2 linked regions of the Rhinolophus ferrumequinum genome follow. The protein of the gene in region 2 interacts with the protein of the main gene of each other region in a biochemical or structural test. Links are inferred from orthologs where the notes say so. Each region holds a gene or a part of one and is shown on either strand. Other genes may lie near its edges.

What was found. The genes of interacting proteins can lie anywhere in the genome.
Region 1: the proteins of GAB1 (region 2) and GRAP2 form a complex in vitro, tested with the Homo sapiens proteins (2 studies listed by BioGRID and IntAct, with this or other methods). The link is inferred for Rhinolophus ferrumequinum from reciprocal best matches to the Homo sapiens genes GAB1 and GRAP2.

Annotation. Positions count from the first base shown.
Region 1 is NC_046293.1:7,688,421-7,698,969, forward strand, and holds the start of GRAP2 (GRB2-related adapter protein 2), read right to left. Parts: upstream 4,399-10,549; 5' UTR 4,170-4,398; intron 1-4,169. UniProt on the Homo sapiens protein: Interacts with SLP-76 to regulate NF-AT activation. Binds to tyrosine-phosphorylated shc.
Region 2 is NC_046301.1:17,748,500-17,758,803, forward strand, and holds the start of GAB1 (GRB2-associated-binding protein 1), read left to right. Parts: upstream 1-6,106; 5' UTR 6,107-6,923; coding exon 6,924-6,995; intron 6,996-10,304. UniProt on the Homo sapiens protein: Adapter protein that plays a role in intracellular signaling cascades triggered by activated receptor-type kinases. Plays a role in FGFR1 signaling. Probably involved in signaling by the epidermal growth factor receptor (EGFR) and the insulin receptor (INSR).

The sequences.
Region 1 (10,549 bases), on a different chromosome or scaffold from region 2:
GTGTTTTAGTGGTAAAATCTTATACAATGAGAGGGAGAACAATGAGAGGGATTTTTCCTCTTTGACTACATCAAAATATCGTCTTGTACCCCAAGGCTCTGAGGTCTCATAACTCCCCTCTTGTATTATTCCTTTCAGTTTTTTCCTTCCTATTTCTTCATAGTTCTACATTTTTCAGTTCCTAGTATTATCTTCAATGTTTCAAGTTTCTTACACAGAGCCTTAAGCTATAGAAATGCAATAAGTATCTATGCTTAACAGAGTGCTATTATTCAGATGAACAAAATCGAAAACACATTTTGGTAGCAACAGTCCCAGATTTTCAATAACTTAAAATAATTTAAAACCTAGGAGGTGGTGGTGGGAGGGTCTTGTTGCTAATTTCCATGTCCTTGTGTCACTTCTCATTACATGCGCTGTCTTCAGAGAGAAGACTCTGGAATCAGATGCCGTGCTTCAAATCCAGGCTCTCTCACATACTAATTAAATGACTGTGCAAGTGACTTAGCCTCTCTGTACCTCAGTTTCCTCACTTGTGAAAGAAGGATAATATTAGCACTTACTTCACTGTGCTATTATGAGAAGCAAATGAGTTAATACCTGCAAAACGTCAGACCAGTGCTTGGCAGATAACAGACGCTGTTTTCGGAATGTTACATGTATCAATTATTTAATCTTCAAAACAATATGATGAGATAGGTGCCATTATTACTCTCATTTTATAGGTTAAGAAACTAAGGAACAGAAAGACTAAGCAACTTGTCCCAGTTGGCCTAGTTTGTAACTGGAGGCTCAGCCTCAAACCTAGAATGTCTGGATCCACAGCAATCACTCGGGAAATGTTACTTATTATTATTATGGTTGGTAGTATTAGTATTATTACCTGAACTTATATACTCAATAAATATCTGCTGTTGCTGCTGCTAATGATGAATTTGTATGTCCAATCCTTCCTCAAAGTGTGCTAAAATGTATATGACCCCCAACGGTATAGTTGATTTAGGCAAGGATTTTCCCCTAAAGCCACTGGTGAAGTTTGTTGGGAAACAGGCTATTACCACAGCGCCAAAGTGTCACTCGCTCAGATTACTTGTTAATTGCAAAGGAGAGAAAAGTACCTTTACAAAGGAGAGACCCCTGGAGTGAGATCTCTGCTTTGAGCCATGATCAAAGTAAGCATCACAGAGGGACAACCTGGCATTACGTGCCTCCTGATGAGATGCAATATGGAGCACCTTGTAAAAAATGCTCAGTCAAAAGTGAATCAATGCTTTACTTCGAACTTGGAGTTTACAGAAAACACAGGGGGTAAAGGAACAAATTAAATAACACCATCAGGCATCAACAAATCCAGAATGTGGAACATTCTACAAGATAACTAGCCTAACCCTTAAAAAGAATCCAATGTAGAATAAAAACACATAAAACCCAAATGCAAAAAATGTGCTTTCCTTTTTACAAATTGGATCCATTTTTAAGTTATGGAAGACATTTGGGGGACAAATGGCAAAAGTTCGATATGGCCTAGATATTTGATGATATTAAGGAATTGCTGTTCGTCTTCTTAGGTAATGATGATATTGTGATTACTTATGAGAATGTCCTTCTTCTTAGATGTGTACTGAATTGTTTCGGAGTGAAGTGTCATTTTGTCTGTAACTTACAAGTAGTTCAGAAAGAAATACATATAGATGGAACAGATATATCAAAATGTTTGCCATTGTTGAATCTAGGTGGTGAGTATGGAGGTATTCAATGTACTAATAGTTCAACTTTACTTTTGAACGTTTTCTTTACTGTCTTCATAAGATCTATGCTTACATGTTCTTGGGAGAACATGTAAGACTTTTGTTTTCATGTACTTAGTAATAGGTTTTTTTTTTTTTAATGCTTTAAAATGTTTACCTCTGAATGCATATTTAAAAAAACTGTTTTTAAAAAATTATTTACTGACTTCCTATTGGCTAAAATGTATTAAAGACTAGTATTAACATTGTCGATGAGAACGCAATGCCTAACCCAGGGCCCAACTTATAGTAAATGCTCAATAAATGTTTGTAAATGTTTATTTATGTACTACGCTTTCCTGAAAATTGTAAAGTGACAAAAAAAAAAGAAAAAGGAAAGAGAGAGACATGAGGCTATGTTGTTTCTTTACGGATCAAGATATGCTGGGCAAATACTTGTGATCGACAAAATGAGGGCCAATTGACTCTATCCTTTGATTCAAATAACTTAGGTCACGAAGATTCTTGACCAACTTTTGAGTTCGTTTTGTGAGGGCACGAAAATGGAGAATCTGTCCCTAGGACTAATTCAGAAGCTACCGTTACTTGTTTAAGAAATCCTGATGGAATCACACTTAATGACACATTTTTGAACAAATGTAGACTTTTCTTGATCCAGGAAAAGAGGTAAGTTCTGCTCAAGTCTAGGGATAAACCCTACAAGTCACCAATACCATTGGGTGTTATTCTCTGAGACACAAAAAATATGTGGGAACTAGGGTCATTTTCAGCTCTTCCAGAAGGCAATGGTTTTAAAAGAGAGGGCTTCAGGCGGTAATATATACTTTGTATAAGAGGTGGGAAGAAAATGATCAAAACTCAAAGAAATAATTAATAACGATATCATTTTGCATTTTCATTAATGCCTTTTCCTAAGGCACTTCATATCTGTGTTAATCATTTATTCTTACAATATCCCTATAAGGTATATGTAGAACAACTGAAATTTTTTTAAAAAGGGGGATTTTCATCAGGGCCTTAGATGTGGAAGCTATTCAAAAGGATATTATATTAGCAATAGAGATACTTCTTCATATTGAACAAATCGATCACCTCCTTCCCCTCTGCTTCAGTAAAGTCATTTAAAAAAATCTATTACAATTTAGGAGAATAAGATTACAGTTTACTACATGGGAGACACCCCAAGTTCAATCTGAAAAGGTAATTTTATTCAATGATATGGGGCCATCTCTCTTTGCAACAAAACCAAAAAAGTTCTCGAAAAAAGAATACAAATAAGAATTTGTAAAACTTGAAACTTAAATGCATTTAGATGGTCCTCTATTTACACAGCATTCTTTGTTTAGTAATGGAGCCTTTTGTAAAGAGAATCACTTTAAAATTATTTTACAAATGTCAAGTTTTATAAACAATACTGGGTTGTTAAAGCAAAATATACTTATACTAAATGTTCCTTCTAAAACCAAATATGAGAAAGAAAAAAAGGGGCGGGGGACCCACTAAAGAACTGAACAGTCATGCAGTTGTATAGAACAAGAGTCTCCAACCTGAGGTTTTCCTTTCTCACACGACATAACATGAGCACATACAATCTTTTCCATTGGGTTTTTGGATCCTAAACATTTTCCCTACTCTTAATTTATCTGGGGATGTATATTTTTAGTAATGTGCAAATTAAGTTGCATATACTTTATTGACAGGGCCTAGTTCCGGGTATGTAAATGTGATACTTTAAAGTTAGTAAAATCTTGGGTAGTGTATTCAGACCTCATGTTCAGGAACAAGTGGGGCACAGAGCATAAAGGAGTTGTCTTAAGATTCCACCCCTGAAGGAAGGCAGTCTTAGGGATACGGCGTTAACTTGAATAAAGAGACAAAGAGACAATACCCTCTTGAAATCTATCTTAACGTGATTTTCTTTTTTGTAAAGGAACCCAAACTGGCATTCTTTGTAAGGGCAACCTAAATACTCACAGAAGTAGAAATGAAAGCCATGAGAGAAATCCTGACATCTGATACTAGCGTTCATTCATGGCTGCTCAGCCCTTCACCCTCCCCCCTCCCGTCCCAGCTTGGATTAAATGCTGACTATGGTCAAGTGGAATTTCACCTCTGTAATCCCAGAGTCTAAAGTCTCTCCCTGAGAAGGCTCAGAAGCCAGTTAGTAGAGTTTTTGTGTGTGTGTATAATGGGCTGGGTAAGGAACAAGTCTTAGTTCATTTGCTAGAAGTCAAATCCTACCACCACAAACATTGCTATCGCAAAAGATTTAGGTACCTTAGCTGATGAACCAAAATATTAAAAACAATATTTGGAGAGCCCATGGGATTCCTTTTAATTACACTTGACTCATGGAGAGCATCTTGCAAATTATAAAACTGATCTCTAGAGTATGTGGACCAATGTTGCATAATGACGTACCTTTTAGACGAGATGAGGTTGAATCTGTATCTTGGCTTTGACACGAAGTTATTAGAATCCTCTCTTGCAAGAAGGAAGACGAATTCACATCCAGTTTACTGCATTTCAGAGTACGGATCCACCTTGTGCTGTCGTCCAGGTACCACACTAACAGAGGACACACACGCTCACAGATCCATTACTGGCGCCTCCTCCTCACTTCAGACTCCCTCCTCCAAACGGCCCCCAGTCAGCCCTGCAGTCTGTAGGCAAACCACACAGGAACTAGCAGATATGAGGCTTCAGAGTGTTGGGCGTGAGCCTTAGATTGTGTGGTTTTGTTTTCTTGCTGCCAGAGTTGAACTAAAATGCAGAAGGTTCCATGAAACACTTTTGCTTCTTTGTGCTTGGTTTCAATTTTAACAATTTCCTCCGTGAACGATTATGTTCACATAAGAAAATTTCTAATCCTAGAGATGGTCCATTGGCAAGCTGCTGCTGGCCTGAAGGAAAACTCTCATTTTCTCTTAGCATAGCCATGCATTCAGAGAAGCGGTAGGAATTCTTAGGGGAACTTATTTAATACCACCCTAGATCGCTCACAATATTAAAATCCCAGAGAAAATGCGTTCTTAGTGCACTCAACCTACAGTATTACTCTTAGCCCATAAAATCACCCTTGAAACAAAACAAAATAAAAAGGCTCTGAGCCAGGATGTGTTCTAATCCCAGTTTTATCACTGTCAGACATGAACTGGGACTGGTTGCTTCAATTTCTGAGATTCATTTTCTCTTGAGTTGGTTGGACGAGAGGATGTCTGGGATTTTAAGGGTTTTCACTGACCTAAAGTTTCTGTCACCTTCAACTTTCTCAGTTCTTACCTTCAAATGCATAGCTCGCCCTCCTCTTGAAGTTCCTCTCTCCTATACCAACTCACGAAGGCCTCTTCCTCTCTCTTTGCTCTTGCTAGAAAATGGATTGCAGCGTTGCATCTTTTGCACAAAAATTAGACAAGTTGCTAGTTGCTAAGTGGTACAATTCAGAGTTTGGGACCAGATCCAAAAGAAAGAGGGAAATGTGGGCTCACAGGATGTCCCTGGCATTAATCCCTTGAAGGCTAAGAAGGAGAGTACCATATAAGACTCAAGTTGGGGTTCTAAAATTTAACCTTATTCTCTAATGTGAAATGGTATCTTTTTCTATCTCTTTGCCCCTTTATACTTCGATCTTGCTCAAGAGTTACTCTTTGTTTTGAACTTTTCCCTTGGCTACAATTGCTCAATATTTTTGTTGAAATAGAAAAGAAGAATCTGGTATAGAATCAGCAGAGTGCCTTGATCACAGTGGGTGCTCAGTAAATATGTGTTGAATGAGTTAAAAGGAATAATTTGCTACTCTTAATTCCTTAATGAAGGACTTTCTTTTTATGAATGCTGGCTTGTTGAATGTTCTTAAATTCAAGTTGTGTCTGAATAGGGTCCCCATTATTTCCACATACTATAAAGATAGGATTTTCGAGATAACGACATGTTGCTGATTTTAAAACAATGGTTGGCCTCAGTGTTCTTCAGTCTTTATGGTGTGACGACCTGGATATTCGCTACACCCACCAGCTCCTTTGCCAGTTTTTGAACACTGAAATCCTCTGGCCACAGTCCTTATCCCAAGCCAGTGTTCAGAGGTGGTTAAACGCTGAGTCCCTAAAACTTCCCTGACTGGGGAATGAGAAGAAAGAGGAAGTGTTGAACTATAGGAAGTATGGTGGTGTTTTCAGCTCACACCCTAATGAGGAAGCTGCTTTTCCACAAGGCGCTGTGCCCAGGGAGCAGACTAGAGCCCCTCTCCCTTACAAGTAAGGGGTAGAGGCAGGAAAGGAACATCTCAGCGAGAGTTATTTCGGTAGTAAGTAATGATTGGCAGGTGTGTTATAGAGCACCCTGGGAGAGAAGCAAGGCCATTACAGTGGTTCATTTCATACCAGCTCTGTAATTGAACAAGTGCTAAGGCAGGACCTAAGAATAAAGACCGTAATGTGAAAATGCCAGCATTTCAGTCCTTAATGTCATGGACACTCATAAAAAATATCAGCACAATTGGGAAGGTTAAGGAATATGTGGAATCTGAACTTATCCACAGTGGAGAAATTTTAAGAGCATACTTGTTTAAAATTTTTCATCAATTCCTTTTGAGGGGATCATTATTAATATCAAAACTCCTTGTGCATAATTATGTTTAATTAAATTTTATGGTAAAATGTGTACTTCTCATTCAATAGTGTAGATCCAAACATTCTCTTGTCATTCATTTGATAAGTAACGTTTGAACACCTACTCTGTGTTAGGCCTGTTCTAAGTGCTGGGAATGTATCAGCGAACAAAACATAGTCCCCACCCTCTTGGATCATACCCTCTGGCACAGGGAGAAACAATATGTACGTCAGATGGTTGTACTACCACGGAGAAACATAAAATGTGGCAAGAGTCAGAAGGAGTGTGGCTGAGGTGGGGAGGGGGTTGCGATTTCACTGGGAGAGCAAAGGATGTTTGAGTCAAGTCCAAAACAAAGTGAGTGATCCAGCCTGATAGCTCTCTGAGGAAACAGTTTTTGTAGGTATAAGGACCAGCAAGCCTTAAGGGGGGAGCAAGCCTGACTCAGTCAGTGAGGTGGAGAGGAGTCAAGAGAGAGGTTGGAGAGGGAGGAGGGGCTAGAACACGTGGGGCCTTGCTAGCCATGGCAAGGTCTCTGGATTTTGCTCTGAGTGAGATGGAAGCTGATGGAAGGTTTTGAACTGGGGAGTTATATGATCTGACCTGGGTTTTAAGTTTTAAAAGGATCTTTGGTTGTTGTGTTGAGATTATATTGTAAAGGAGCAAGAGCAGAAGCAGAGAGACCAGTTAGGAGGCTACTGCAACAGTCCTGGCAAGAGATGATGGCAACTTAGGACAGGTGGTTGGAAGTGAAGGTGGTGGGAAGTGATTGAATTCTGAATATACAGGGTGACCATAAAATCTGGAAACATAAATATTATGTTTTATCATGTATTAGAACGTGGCACTGATAAACCGTTTATTATCTACTGACCATATACTACCCAGACTTGGGAGCCACCTGTATTAAAGGAGAACTGATGGATATGATGTGCGGTATGAGAGACAAAGAGAGGACTCAACGATGACTCTAAGATCGTGGGCGGAGAAGCTAGAAGCAAGGATTGTCATTTACTGAAATGGGGGAGATGGTTTTGAAGATCAGGAGCTTCATTTTGGACATATTAAATTCGAGATGTTTGTGAGAAACATCAGCGGGAAGGTCAGGACAGGTTAGGGCTGTAATAACACCTTGAGAGTTGTTGAGAGAGTAAAGGATGTCTAAAGCTATGAAACTGGCTAAAACCACCTAAAGAATGAATACAGATAGAGAACAAACCCTTCCAAAGCTGAGAGGTCAGAGAAATGAGGAGAAACCAGCCAAGGAGATGGGAGGGAGCAGTGATGCCCTAGAAATCAAGAGAAGAGAACTTTGTTGTCTTTTGTAAAATTCTGAGTTCAGGGGGAAAAAACACACCAAGTAACTGTTGTGAAAAGATGTCTGCATTTGGTGAATGCTACAATACTGCAACTAAATTATGGTGCCCCCAAATGGAGGAAAGCAGATAAGAAGGACCTTTTACATAATGCCACTTTAACAGAGTTAATTCCACCAGGTATGTAACACTTTACGCTTTTGCCTAATCAATTCCATTTCGAACTCACCCAGAGATTCATTCTAAAAGAAGAAGAGGAATGGGTTTTTTATTCTCTTTTAAATCTGGGAATCTCTGACCTTCTGAAAACACAAAAGGTAGACTTGTGAGTGAGAATGCCAACAGAACTCAAGCAATGTCAATGACCCAAGCTTACTCCTTAGGGTAGGGGAAAGGGCATCGAATTGGATGCAGCAGATTTGGGTTCAAGTTCTAGCTAAATCACCTGCTAGTTGAATGTTTTGGGGCAATTCATGTAACCTGTTTGTTCCTGCAAACTCAGCTCAAGTTCACCTCCTCCAGGAAGCCTTCCCTAACTTTGTAGATTTAGACAAATCTCCTTTTTACTCCCATGTCACTCTATACTTGCCTTTATCAAGGCAACTTGTAATTGCTGACTTATTCCTGTCTCCTCTGTTAGACTATAATTTCCTTGTATTCCTATCACTCAGCACAGTGTCTGACACATAGTAGGTGCTCAGTAATGTAGAATGAATGCATGTTGCTCAAACTCACTGTCTCATAGGTGCAATGGGAGTAATTGATGCCTACTTTTGAGTTCCTTTGAAATTTACATAAGATATGCATAGAAAAAAATCTTCATAAACTGTAACTCAATATACAAAATTCTTGTTGTTTGTCCCCTACTACTTTATAGAATAACACCTTACTCTGGTATTCAGGCCCTGAACAGTCTGTTTCTGGGCCAGCTTTTCAATTTCTCTCTGGCTCCTACCCCCACTACTTTATATTATAGCAGGCTAAGCAATATTTCAAACACACCAACATCTTTCACATCTCCTATCATCTTATTTTATACTTACCTATCTACATGTCAGTATCTGTTATAATAATAATTATAATTGAAGTAGTAGGAACTGAAAACAAATGTTACTTTCATCTCCTAAGTCTTTCACCTCCACCCTAGTGGAATGTTGACATATTCTACTCAACCACCAACATGCTTTAAAACGAGGGTTTTATTATATTTTCAATGCCTAAAGGATAAAATCACCTAGTAGTATGGACAAGGTCCTTAATGATCTGATTTTCCCCTGTCACTTCATGTCCCTCTGCTGTTCTACTAATAGCCTTTCCAACAGCCATAGTAACTACAGTCCTGGCAGTTTTACCAAGATGATAGGTGCTCTCAACTTTCAAGCCTTTACACAGGCGCCCTTTGCCTCTAATGGCCTCCTCTCCTTTGTCTATTCAGTGAACTCCCTGTCATTCTTTAAGATTCAATTCTGATATAAACTCTTCTGTGAAACCTGCCCTTAAGTACTCCTTGGCAAAATTACATGCTCGCTCCTGTCTTATTACAGGATACACATCTTGTCACAATCTTCTGGGATGGTGCCTGTCACCTACACTTGACCGTAAACTCATCCAGCATTGCATTGGTGTTTTAGGTCATGGTCCCTACTGCTTGGCAGGGTGCCTGGCACAGAGTGGGTGTTCACTGGAGATCAGCTGAATGTTTCATCCACTACGCATCAGTGGTACCCGAGGCCATCAGTGAAGGCACTCCATCACTGCCCATCACGCACACTGCTCTTTTAATCTCTAGAGCCTACTATTAATTTCTTTCTCTTTTGAGATGGAAATCAGCTGCGGATGGCATTTCAACTCAGTTAAAATTACACTAACCCAAGTTGTAAAATTTATTCTTTGAAAGGAGAATTCGGGCAGCACCACAGATCAACAGATTGTTAAATGAAGACATTTACTTTCATTCCACTTGATATCCCCAGGCTGGGATACTTTAGCCCCAAGCATTCCTCTAGCTTGAGGCCCTGGGAGACGCGGGCCCCAGACCTAGGAGAGGCCGGAAGTGAGGGGCCGGAAGTGAGGAAGCGGAAGTGGGGAAGGATGGGCAGTTGGGCCTGGGAACCAGGGAACGTGAATTTGAGTGGGAAAATGCCCTGATGTGGTAGCTGGAGCTTCCCCTCAGGTAATAGACTCCCTTTTGGTGGAGGGGGGCCGGGAGGGGTCCGCTACCCGCCTCGTCTCACGCCGGTGCTGTCCGCTGCCCAAGGCCCGGGGGGAGGTGGACGGGGCCGCACGGGCTGAAGGGGGGAGGGCCCTGCTGCGTGTGCTGCCCTCACGTCACTCTCACTTTTTAGAAGCTTTCCTGCTTCCAGCTTCCCCCTCCAAGTAAATCGTGTGCTCTTAGAGGGTAGTCGCTGGAAGTTGATTTTCTCTCAGCCTCCGCCCTTCATGTTCAAAATTCTTACCCACGCATCTCGTTTCTTGCTCTCAACAGCCCCCCCCATGTGATTAGTCCTAATGCGGCAGATAGGGAACTGAGGCCCAGAGAAGTTGTAAGCCTTAATTAGGAAATGGCCGAGCAGAACCTCAAAGCCATGTTTTTGGAATCCTAATTAAAGTAATGAGATGAGATATGAGAATGTCTAGGTGCCAGCACATTGGGAGTATTCAGTAGAGTAGCATCTACTCCAGAGGGTGGGGACTGTGTCTTGTGCGTATTTCTCCATTTCCTAGAATGGAGCCTGTCACATGATAAACTCTGGAAAACTAATAACTGAATGAATTAATGAACACATAGGAGGGGCTCAAAACAATCGGTTTCTCCGCTTCTTGCAGTGTTCTTTCCATCAAAACAGTTACACCTCTTAATGCTACAGTATTCTCTAT
Region 2 (10,304 bases):
CAAACTCACTATCTATTCTTTTGCAACATCTAATTTGCTGTTAATTGCATGCAGTATATTTTTCATGTTAGTCACTGTATTTTCTTCTCGAGAAGTTTTATTTAGGCCTTTGTAATATCTTCCATGTCTCTGCTTTATATGTTAAGTCATTCCTCTAGCTTCTTGAACATGGGGTATAGTTATAACAACTGTTCTGTTTTTGTTAACTAATTTTAATGTCATTTCCAGGTTGGCTTCAATTGATTTATCTCCTCATTTTGTGCCATACTTACTTGCTTTTTAAAATTTCTTGTTGGATGTCAAATATTATACATTTTATCTTGTTAGGTGTTGGATATTTTTGTTTTCCTACAAATATATGTGAGCTCTTGTTTGGGACATGATTAAATTACTTGGAAACAGTTTGATCCTGGGGGATCTTGCTGTTAAGACTTCTTAGGAAGGACCACAGCAGCGGTTAGTCTAGGGCTAGTTTTGCCCCACGATTGAGGGTATCCTTCAGGGTACTCTACAGTGCCCTGTGAATTATGTTTTTCACTCCGGCTGGGAGAATAGGAACTATTTCTACCCCGTGCCACCTCCTGGTGAGTTTTCCCTGTAATCCTTTTCAGTGGCTCTTTCCTTAATGTCAAGTGATTTCTTTACCTGCATCTGCTGATCAGTATTCAGCTGAAGACTCAAGGGGTCCACTTGAATGGGAATCTCCAGAGTTCTGATCTGAGAGCTGGGGAGAAGATCATGATTCTGATCTTGTTAATTCTGTGGAGCCAAGTGCCATATCCCGAAGACAGTTGGATTTACAGGTTGGTTGTTCAGAAGAGAGAACTGAACTGGGGATGGAAATTTGTGAAATGTCTAGGTACAGATAAACACACAGATACCACCATACATGAAAAAGTAGAGAATGAGAAGAGAGGCGGGCTAGATTTCAGAATGCCAAGGGCCAGTAAAAGAAGAGCCTGCAAAGAAATCTAAGATGGAGCAAGGAAACAGGAAGGTTCAAAACTGCAATATCTCTAAGATCAAGGGTACTGAGAGTTTTAGGAAGGAGTGACTGAGAAATATAAAGACTGAAAATTATTGTTTGATTTAGTGATGTGGGGGTCAGAGTGACCTTTTCAAGTATAAGAGAAATTGGGATGATAGCCAGAAAGAAGCAGTCTGAGGAGTGAAGGAAGATGAGAACTAGGAACAGAAACTATAGCAACACTTAATAGAAATCTGGCTGTGAAAGAAGAGAGAAAAGCTGGTAGCTAAAAAGGAATATAAGATGTAGACGTTTTTTCACATTGTTTTGTTTTAACAGAAAAGAGGTATGTTTAAAATGATACTTTGACAGAAGAAATGTATGTTGAAAATGTATAATTTAACTCAGTTTTAGAGAACTGTAATCTATTATTGCCTACAATAATTTTGTCAAATACAGTGGAACCAACTTTCATTTTAATTTTTCAATTGTTTATGCAGGATAATGCTAATATTAGGGAAGAGTTAAATAATCTGCAACTACATGTTATCAGCAACTTCACATAAGATTCTCTCTCACAATAGCTACTTTAAAGGGCATTATAGTACACTTCCATTTTAAAAAACATGTGTTTGTGTGTGTGTATGTATGAGTCTGTGTGTATGCACACCCAATCATATCATGGTGGTATAAAGCAAAAATTGGCAAACTATGGCCCTTGGCCAAATCTGTCTTGCCACTTGTTTTTGTAAATAAAGTTTTATTTGAACACACACATGCACATAGTGATGGAAAGAATTACATTGAGAATGGAGTATTTAGATATAAAAAGATCATTTACAGGGTGAGGTTCTTGAGACAGTGCAATGGGATGAAATTCAAAGTATAAGTGGAGAGATTGGCCTTTCACAGGCGAAAAGCAATGTCCTTATTTGCCATAGGAAGCGGAAGAGTAAGAGGAGTGAAGATAGTATGTAGGTTTGCATGTTTGATGTTTGATGGCTAGAAGTCAAAGGAGTTTCCATTTGAGCACTTTGGTTTTCTGGGGAAGCTATAAGAAAGATAGTCAGTTGATGGGAAAAGTAGAGGGTTTGAAAATTTGAGAAATCTGAAGAAAGTTTAAGAGTTATTGTAAGCATTATTCATTATAGCCAAAAATTAGAAACAAGCCAAATGCCCATCAACTGATAAATGGGTAAATAAAATGTGTTGTATCCATACAATCGAATATTGTTTAACAATAGAAAATGAAGTACTGATACATGCTACAACCTGCACAAACCTTTAAAACTTATGCTAACTGAAAGAAGCTAGTCACAAAATGTCACAAATTGTATGTTGCCACTTATGTGAAATGTTCAAAAGAGGCAAATCCATAGAAGCAGAAAGATTAGTGGTTCTCAGGGGCTGAGAGGGAAGGGGGAATGAGAATGGAGTTTTTATTTGGGGCAATGAAATATTCTGAAATTAGTGGTGTGGTTGAAGAATTTTATGAACATACTAAAAACCATTGAATTGTACACTTGAAAAAATGTGAATTTTATGGCCTATGAATTATACCTCAATAAAGCTGTTATTTAAAAAGAAAAGTTATTTCAGAGGGTAGACTAGTGAGTGTACTGTCCAAATAAATGAAGTAGGATTGCTGACTAGCAGAGACATCCATGAAGCTAATGAATCTTCAGCTCGGAGCCACTCATTGCACAGGCCCCCAGGAGAATAGGGAGCTGATGGGAAAGGTGCAGTGTGCTGCTTGGGAGGGGAAGCCAGGATGCACTCAGGAAACATATCCATGGGAGGATTCTGGTAAATCATCACAGAGATCTCAAAAGAAATGCATCTGTAGTCCTAGGCTCCAATCATTTGTTATTTATTTTCTCATTCTAAATACACTTTCATCCTAATTTTATATTTGTAATTGTATATTCTTTTCCTTTAAAAGAACTTCCCAAACCGTATAAGCTTCAGGTCCCAGAAGACCAAGATCTGCCTGTGCTGATAGCTGAGGAGCTATTGGAGGTCATTAAATGTGAATTTTTTAGTGGTGTCACTCATGCGTAACTTGCTCCAGCATCACTTGATGCAGGAGAAAGCAGACTGGGGTTCATTCAGAGTTGGGGTTTTGTGAGTTTGGTGTATGTTATTAAAAATATGGACCATAAAATTTAAACTGGATAAGGGGTGAAGAAAGGAGAGGTCTGATGGATCATGAGAAAGCAGAGGTATCAACAGGCTGCAAAAGCTGTTGAGAAGAAAGATTATATTGGAAAAACTTGAAAGATCAAGTTGAAGATATCTGGTTAAAGTGGGATGCTGGAGGTGAATAATAAAGCCCATAGAGGCAATTGTTGGAGGTGATTTGAAGGTCACAGGAAATGACGTGGTCATTTGCTCTAAGGAAAAGTCCAAACTCTGAGATCTCCAGGGGTCTGCACAATCCTTCCCTTGCCTGCCTCTGGAACCTCACCCTCTCACCCAGTGTCCCCTCTCACTCGCCCCACTGCTGCTGTCTTTTAGGTACTCAGGAGCTCCCTCCAGCCTGACTTGTAACCTAGTAGTTTCTCTTTTGTCTAGAACACTCTTCTCCACAACGTGGCCAGGCCAACTTGTACTCATCCTGAGAACCTCAGTTTAAAGTCTTTTCCAAAGGAAGTCTTTCCTAACCTGCTCACTCTCCTTCCATGGAGGGTAGACCCGGTTATACACCCAAATAACACACTCTATTTTTTTTTCTTTCATAACATTTATTAATTGTATTATAGAAGTTATGGGGTTAATTATCTTAAAACCTTTTTTTTCCAGGATAGAGGACTACGGGAACATGTCTGGCTTTCCTCCCTATCGTATCTGTGGTCCTCAGGGACTTATACATACTAGGATATTCCATAAATGTTTGTTGTAGGAATGAAATTTAAAATACTTATGTATAATAGCTTTTTCCAGCATATCTTTTAGATATAAAAGGTAACAGATAATCGAAAAATGGCATATGATGTAAAATAATGCAACTGTCTTGTCTAAAATACATACATGGAGACGTATCTATTGTCAACCTCTCCTCAACCCTTATTTGGTCTCTAGAAATTCTCATCTAAATCAGAGTCAATGATATGGAAAAATATTTAAAGATTTCTTATATAGAAATGAGATAACTGAATCCCTTCTTTGAAATATATATATATATATATATATATATATATATATATTTAATTATTGGAGCTTCCAAAAGCTAAATAGTACAAGATACATTACGATTTTTCTTTCAAAACAACTTTAGAACAGGAGTGGAGACAGTGGTAAATAAAAGCCAACAGTTAACTAAGCAAGGGTGGACCCGTCTTACCAAAGTTAATTATAAATGCTTTTGACTTGGTGTAGACACACTGCCTATGGGAGAAGTGAAAACAAATTCGATGATTTATTTTGGCCTGTGGCAAAATTTGTGTTCACATACCATTTCCCTGAAAATAAGACCTAGCAGACCCAGTCTTATAGTAAAATAAGACCAGATCTTATATTAATTTTTGCTCCAAAAGATACATTAGAGCTGATTGTCCAGCTAGGTCTTATTTTCCGGGAAACACGGTACGTAAAAAGAAATTATTTTGGTTCATTAGCTGCCATAAAAATTACTCACTTGTGTTCTTAAAAAACCCTTACAACAAACATCTTGCTTGTTCTTTCTCTCTCAGTCCTCCTTACGGTTATGCCTTTTATTCTTCCACAAAACGAGTCTAGTTCTCTCTTTACAACGTCTTTCAAATATCGGGCTAAATGCCTCCTCAAGGAATACTTATCTCTTATCCTATCTAACCTAGTTCCATCCCATTGTTCTTTCACCTTATCGGGTTTATTTCCCTCACGGCACAACATTTATCACAATCTGTACTCCATAGACCTTTCACTTTTTTACTCTCCTATGCCACCACGGGAGTGTCACCTCCATGAGTGTAGGAACTTGTGTATATCGCCACCCCAGCACTTAATTTCCTACTATAATTTTACATTTTCAAACTCAGAGGAAGTCCTGAATATGAACGTGTGTAAATAAGAAAACGCCTGAGGTTGTTTCCAGAAATGTTCACTTATCTCCTAATATTTTAGTATTTTTATCTGATTATTTATGTTACCTTCTAAAATTTGTGTTGGGGCTTAGTTTTTCATAAATAAGTTGGAAAAGATATTTCTATTACAGGATCATGTTAATCTCAGGACCAGGTATCATAATTGTAAAACACACACAAGTAGGCAAATAGAACTAGGACATCCAGTAACTTGCCCTTTTCTCGTCCAACATCCCAAAGGGAGACTTTAAACAAATACAAAGTCAAGTGGAAAAAACTGGCAACAAATGGAGGGAGTGTGAGGCTTTACAGTGTCCCAGAGATTGACTCAATCGAATCCTTTGGCCCCTCTAAGAGATCCCACCACTCTGGCAGGGCTGCTCGGGGGACCAGACCACGCTAGCCCGGGTGGGTCCTTCTGTCCTCCCCTTCAGGCAGGTATCTATGGCGCGCTCCCACGCGCCCTCCGCCCTCGGCCCTTCGGTTTCCCAGGCAGGAATCGGCGGGGTCGCTGCCTCCCCAAGGCTCTGCGGTCGCCCTACCGGCTCTTTTACTTTGCAGGCTGTCAAATAGAGAAAACTTCCCGAACTCCAGATCTCATGCAGTAGTACAAACTCCGAACTGACACCCGGGTGAGCCAAGATGGTAAACACTCGAACGTTCCTCACTCTCCCCGCGCCCAAGTCTCAACAGCGATGGCCTTGCCGAGGCTACTCCTCCCGTCCCCAGCACAGAGCGGGCTGGGGGCTCCGGCCGCCACCGCCACTGGGAGGCGGAGGACCCCGCTCCAGCTTCCAGAACTACAGATCCCAGGGTGCCTCTCGGACTCCCGTTCCCTCCCTCTCTCGCTCCCTCCTCCTTTTTTCCCCTCCCCCCTGGCCCTTGTTGTTTTGGCTGGAAGCCCTCGGGCGGAGTTTCAGAGAAAGTCTGGGCAGAAACCGGAGCCGGCCCCAACGTGGGAAGGGGAGGAGAAAAGGGAGGAAGAGGGAGTCGGGAGCGGGAGGGATCGGGGCCGTGGGCCGGGCGGCTCAGAATCTGCCGCTGGCCCCGGGTGGGGGAGGCGGCGCCGAAGGAGCGCAAGGGGACGGGACAGTGGGATCCATCCCCAGAGCCGAGAAGCCGAGCGCCTGGTTCCTCCCCGCTCCCCGCCCTCTTCGGCGGCCGCGAGCGTGAACCCACCCTCCGGCGAAACCTGCTGGGTCCCTAGCGCCTGCCGCCCTGCGCTGCCCAGCGCTTGGCGGCCGACTCAGGACCTACCCTGCGCCCACTGCCCACCGGACCCTCGCAGTTTTCCCTTTCCTCCCCGCTTCCCGGGCGTGCGGGGCAGTGACCCGCCATCCTCCGACGAGGGCGAAGGGGAGGATTGTCCCGGGCGCACCGAAACCGAGAGCGGGCAAGCTGGAGTGGACGCTGCGCGGGGCATTGTGTGTGTGAGTGTGTGTGTGCGCGTGCAGCATAGTGTCTTTCGGAAAGCACTCTGGGGAGGTCCTGTCCCTAGGGGGCGGAGCGCAGGGGACCGAGGCTCCTGCTCCGGGCCGGGGCAGAGTCCCACGGATCCCGATCGCTGCTGAGGAGGCCGCGGGACGGGGCGCCTGGCTGGAAGGCGGACGCCGTGAAGGGAGGCCGGGGCGCCCTCGGTCCGGGGACTGCCCCTGCTCCGAGGTGTCGGCCTCCGCGGCGCAGCCCGTTTCTGTTCAAGTTCGCGGATCTGCGAGAGAGAGCCTCGGACGCGGAGAGCCGGCACTCCTAGTAGCCCGCCCGCTCCGTCGGCCCGAGCTGCGCGACCGGAGAGCGAGGTCCCAGCGTCTGCGCTACCGGCAGGCGTCGACTGTATCGGGATCGCGCCCGCCCGCCCCTCTGCTGCCCGGGCCGGAGCCCGAGAGGCGCGCACCATGAGCGGCGGCGAAGTGGTCTGCTCGGGATGGCTTCGCAAGTCCCCCCCGGAGAAAAAGTTGAAGCGTTATGTAAGTACAGTTTCGGCGGGTGCTCCACGGGCCTCGGTGCCCACACCTCTCTCTGGCAGCTGCAGCTGGCCGCGCGCGGGGCTGGTTGGACCCCATCTCTTTCCCCTCGGCCCCTTTGGGACCGAGTCTGTACACTCATGTTCTGGCCTCCACTTTGACGGGCAACTTTCTTCAGACTCCAGACGCCTGCTTTGCGGGCCTCTTCAGCCCAGAGGAGGGCCCGGCATTTCCAGCTAAACGCCCGCTGCATGTTTTTATTATTCCTTTTAGCAGCGGTGGGGAGAAGAGCATTCTCCTTCCTTTATATCTGCATCTAATCATTATGGGGCTGCTGTGTACTACATTTCTCGCACTAGGAAATTCGCTGAGAATGTAGAACTCACCAGCCCTCTCTTTGGTCCGTACACCCTCTTGCCTTCCCCTGGAGGTAGATTGCGAGAAGCGGGCTGTGGACCTGGATAGTTGGTTTAGAGTTAGACGCAAGCATCTCCAATCCGCGAAAAGAAGAAGAATGAGAAGTTATTACGCGCTCTACCGTTTGCTTTGCAGGGTTCACATTTTCGCGGTTTTGAATCCAGCAACATTGGAGTTTGGCCCTAGAGCCTTAGCAGCTTGCTGCGAGAGGAGGGCGCTGGGGGGAGCCTGGTGGCTGGTGTTTGGGTGCCTTGGACACGCTGTCAAGCCCCGCAGGAGGGGACAGCTGAGGCCAGGAAGGATTTCTGTGGTCCTTTTCCAGGCCACCAGAGTTGCTTAAATGGTATTTGTGTAAGTGGTACAAGATGACGATTATGTGTTAAACCGTTTTAGGTGTTATGGAAAACATTCCTTGAAAGAACCAACCTTACTTTGGTGGAAATCTGTGTCCTCTTCCGGGGACTGGGATTTTATCCTGTTTTCCCCCGTGGGTCCTTTTGTTGCTGCCCCCCTGCTAAGGAAAGAAATGACACTATTGCCCTGGCATATGGAGCAAATTTTTTTTAGTCAAATGTGTTTCAAAAGCAAAATTTAATATATAAATATATATTAAATATATATTAAATATAAATTGACTACCAAGGGACCGACACCGCTAATGGAACCTGTTTCTTGTTGAAGGATATTTAACCCAATATTAGACTGGGGTTAATCCTGTTAGTCACTGTTTGCCAAAGAATGGAGTGAAGTGCAGTATTTAGCTTCACTGAGAATTGACCAGTGAATTTCTGGTTTACTTTCTGCCATAATTGTTATAACAATTCTCATTTAAGGACTTGATGCCACACATCCTAAGAAAGTTTGCCAGAAGTTTTGAATCCTTCCAAATCCTGTCTCTCCACCTATCACAGTTTGCATTACTATCCTGGTAAAAATGCTAATTTTATTTCAAACATTTGGGAGAGGCAGTGGTTTTTTTCAGCTCTTAGTTTTAAACAGAAGGATGTATGTGTGTAAGAAGAGAGAGCAGGGAGTTAGAAAGAGGTATTTGTTTTGAGAAGGCACAGTTTGGGAAAGATGTAAACCTAAATGGTTGGGTTCTTCGGGGAACTAAAGTACAATACATTTGCCGAAATAGGTAGTGGCGATAGAGGTTTAATGTATTCTTTCACATAGTTGGTCTATGGTTCTCTCAAAAGATGCTGTGTACTGGGCTACGAATCATAAGATTAGGAAATACAGTAGGAGAAAAGCCCCATCTCTTGGACTTGCAATTTAATGTAATATAAACCAGAAAGAAAATCGGCCAAAAAATTATCTTAAAAGGGACAAAAGAAAAAAGGAAAGTCTAAATTAAAAAAAAATATTATTTCATTTAATCATCCCAAAGTTTTATGAGGTAGGTATTATCTCTGTTTTTCAGATAAGAAAACAGTCTGCATTACCAGAATGTGCCAGAGGCAGGATTTGAACCCATATCTGCCTGACTGACTGGGCTGTAAGAGGTTAACGAGTCTCATCCAGTTCATTTCAAGTGGAGCTCAGACTAGATCATCTCTAAAGGTCCTCTTAGATTATAACTTTCTAGGAGTCTATGAATATTCAGAATACAAGGAGAAGGTCAGGTGCGGATCAGACGTGCACTGCTAATGACACATGAGACCCTTCAGGCAGCTTTCTGAGTCTTCAAGAAGATGAGACAAGTACAATGTAAAGTGGTTTCTGATTGTGTGCCCACGCTGAATGCTGTGGTTTTATGTTTGTTTTTTAATAGTTGTTTTGAGGAATAAGCTTAGTGTAGTCGGAAAATATAATACTTGAGAGAGACATTAGTCTCCCTAAGTTGTGTTTTCAACAGGGAGAAGAATCTGCCTAACAGCTGGAGGGAGGCTGAGTTTTTCTTGCCCAGCCAAGTATTCGTGTTTTCTTTACACATTAATGAAGTGCATGGGGATAGCCCAGGAAGATAGTGGGCAGCGTGGCTCTCAGGATTGAGGGGTCCAAGAAGGCGACTGGGGGATTACAAGTTAAAATGAGGCTGATCGTATAGTTTCGCTGTCAAGTTGGTTGCCCAGAAGATTTCGAAATTCCCAGATTATTGATCTTGTGGCTTTGGTATACAGTTTAGGTTGCTTTTGCTAAGCCAATTTCAACCCTCAAAGATATAGTCAATGAATTTATGCATTTCCTGTGCTTGAGTTTCTTTTCATGTAAAATCTTGATTTTCTGGATAGAAGGAAACATTGTTAGCCACCCAACAGGCAAAATGTTGCTTGATAATGGTTTTTAATGAATGGATTTGCTGTGAAAAGATACTTGGATTCATGGTACTATAATTGTTAATTGAGACTTCAGAGAATTTGAGCATTGATTCTGTTGGGAAACATTTGGTCCATGGGACTTTGACAGTTGTCTTGCTGTTTACAGTATTTATAGGGTAGTCCAAACATTCATTAAGATGATCCATAAGGGCTTTTAAGTGACAAAAAAAATGTTTTAGTTTTATCTTTAAAGTCATCTCAAGTTATGGCCCCAGTGTGTTCCATTTACAACTCCATTTTATATTTACTGTTTGATAGTCTACTCAGGCAGTGTTGTTTTTGCATACTAGTGTGTTCATCTGATATGGAAGCTTTCCTTGAATTTCCTAAATAGAGTGAAAGTGGCATAAAAGAAAGTGAGAGAAAGACGGCAATGGTTAGCGGATTCCCTAGGCTTTATGTCTCTTCTTCACTTTTTCTATATTTACTTGCAAAAGGGTAAGAAAGTACTTTTTTTTTAATTAAAGTTTATTGGGGTGACAATTGTTAGTAAAGTAACATAGATTTCAGGTGTACAATTCTGTATACCTCATCTATAAATCCCATTGTGTGTTCACCACCCAGAGTCAGTTCT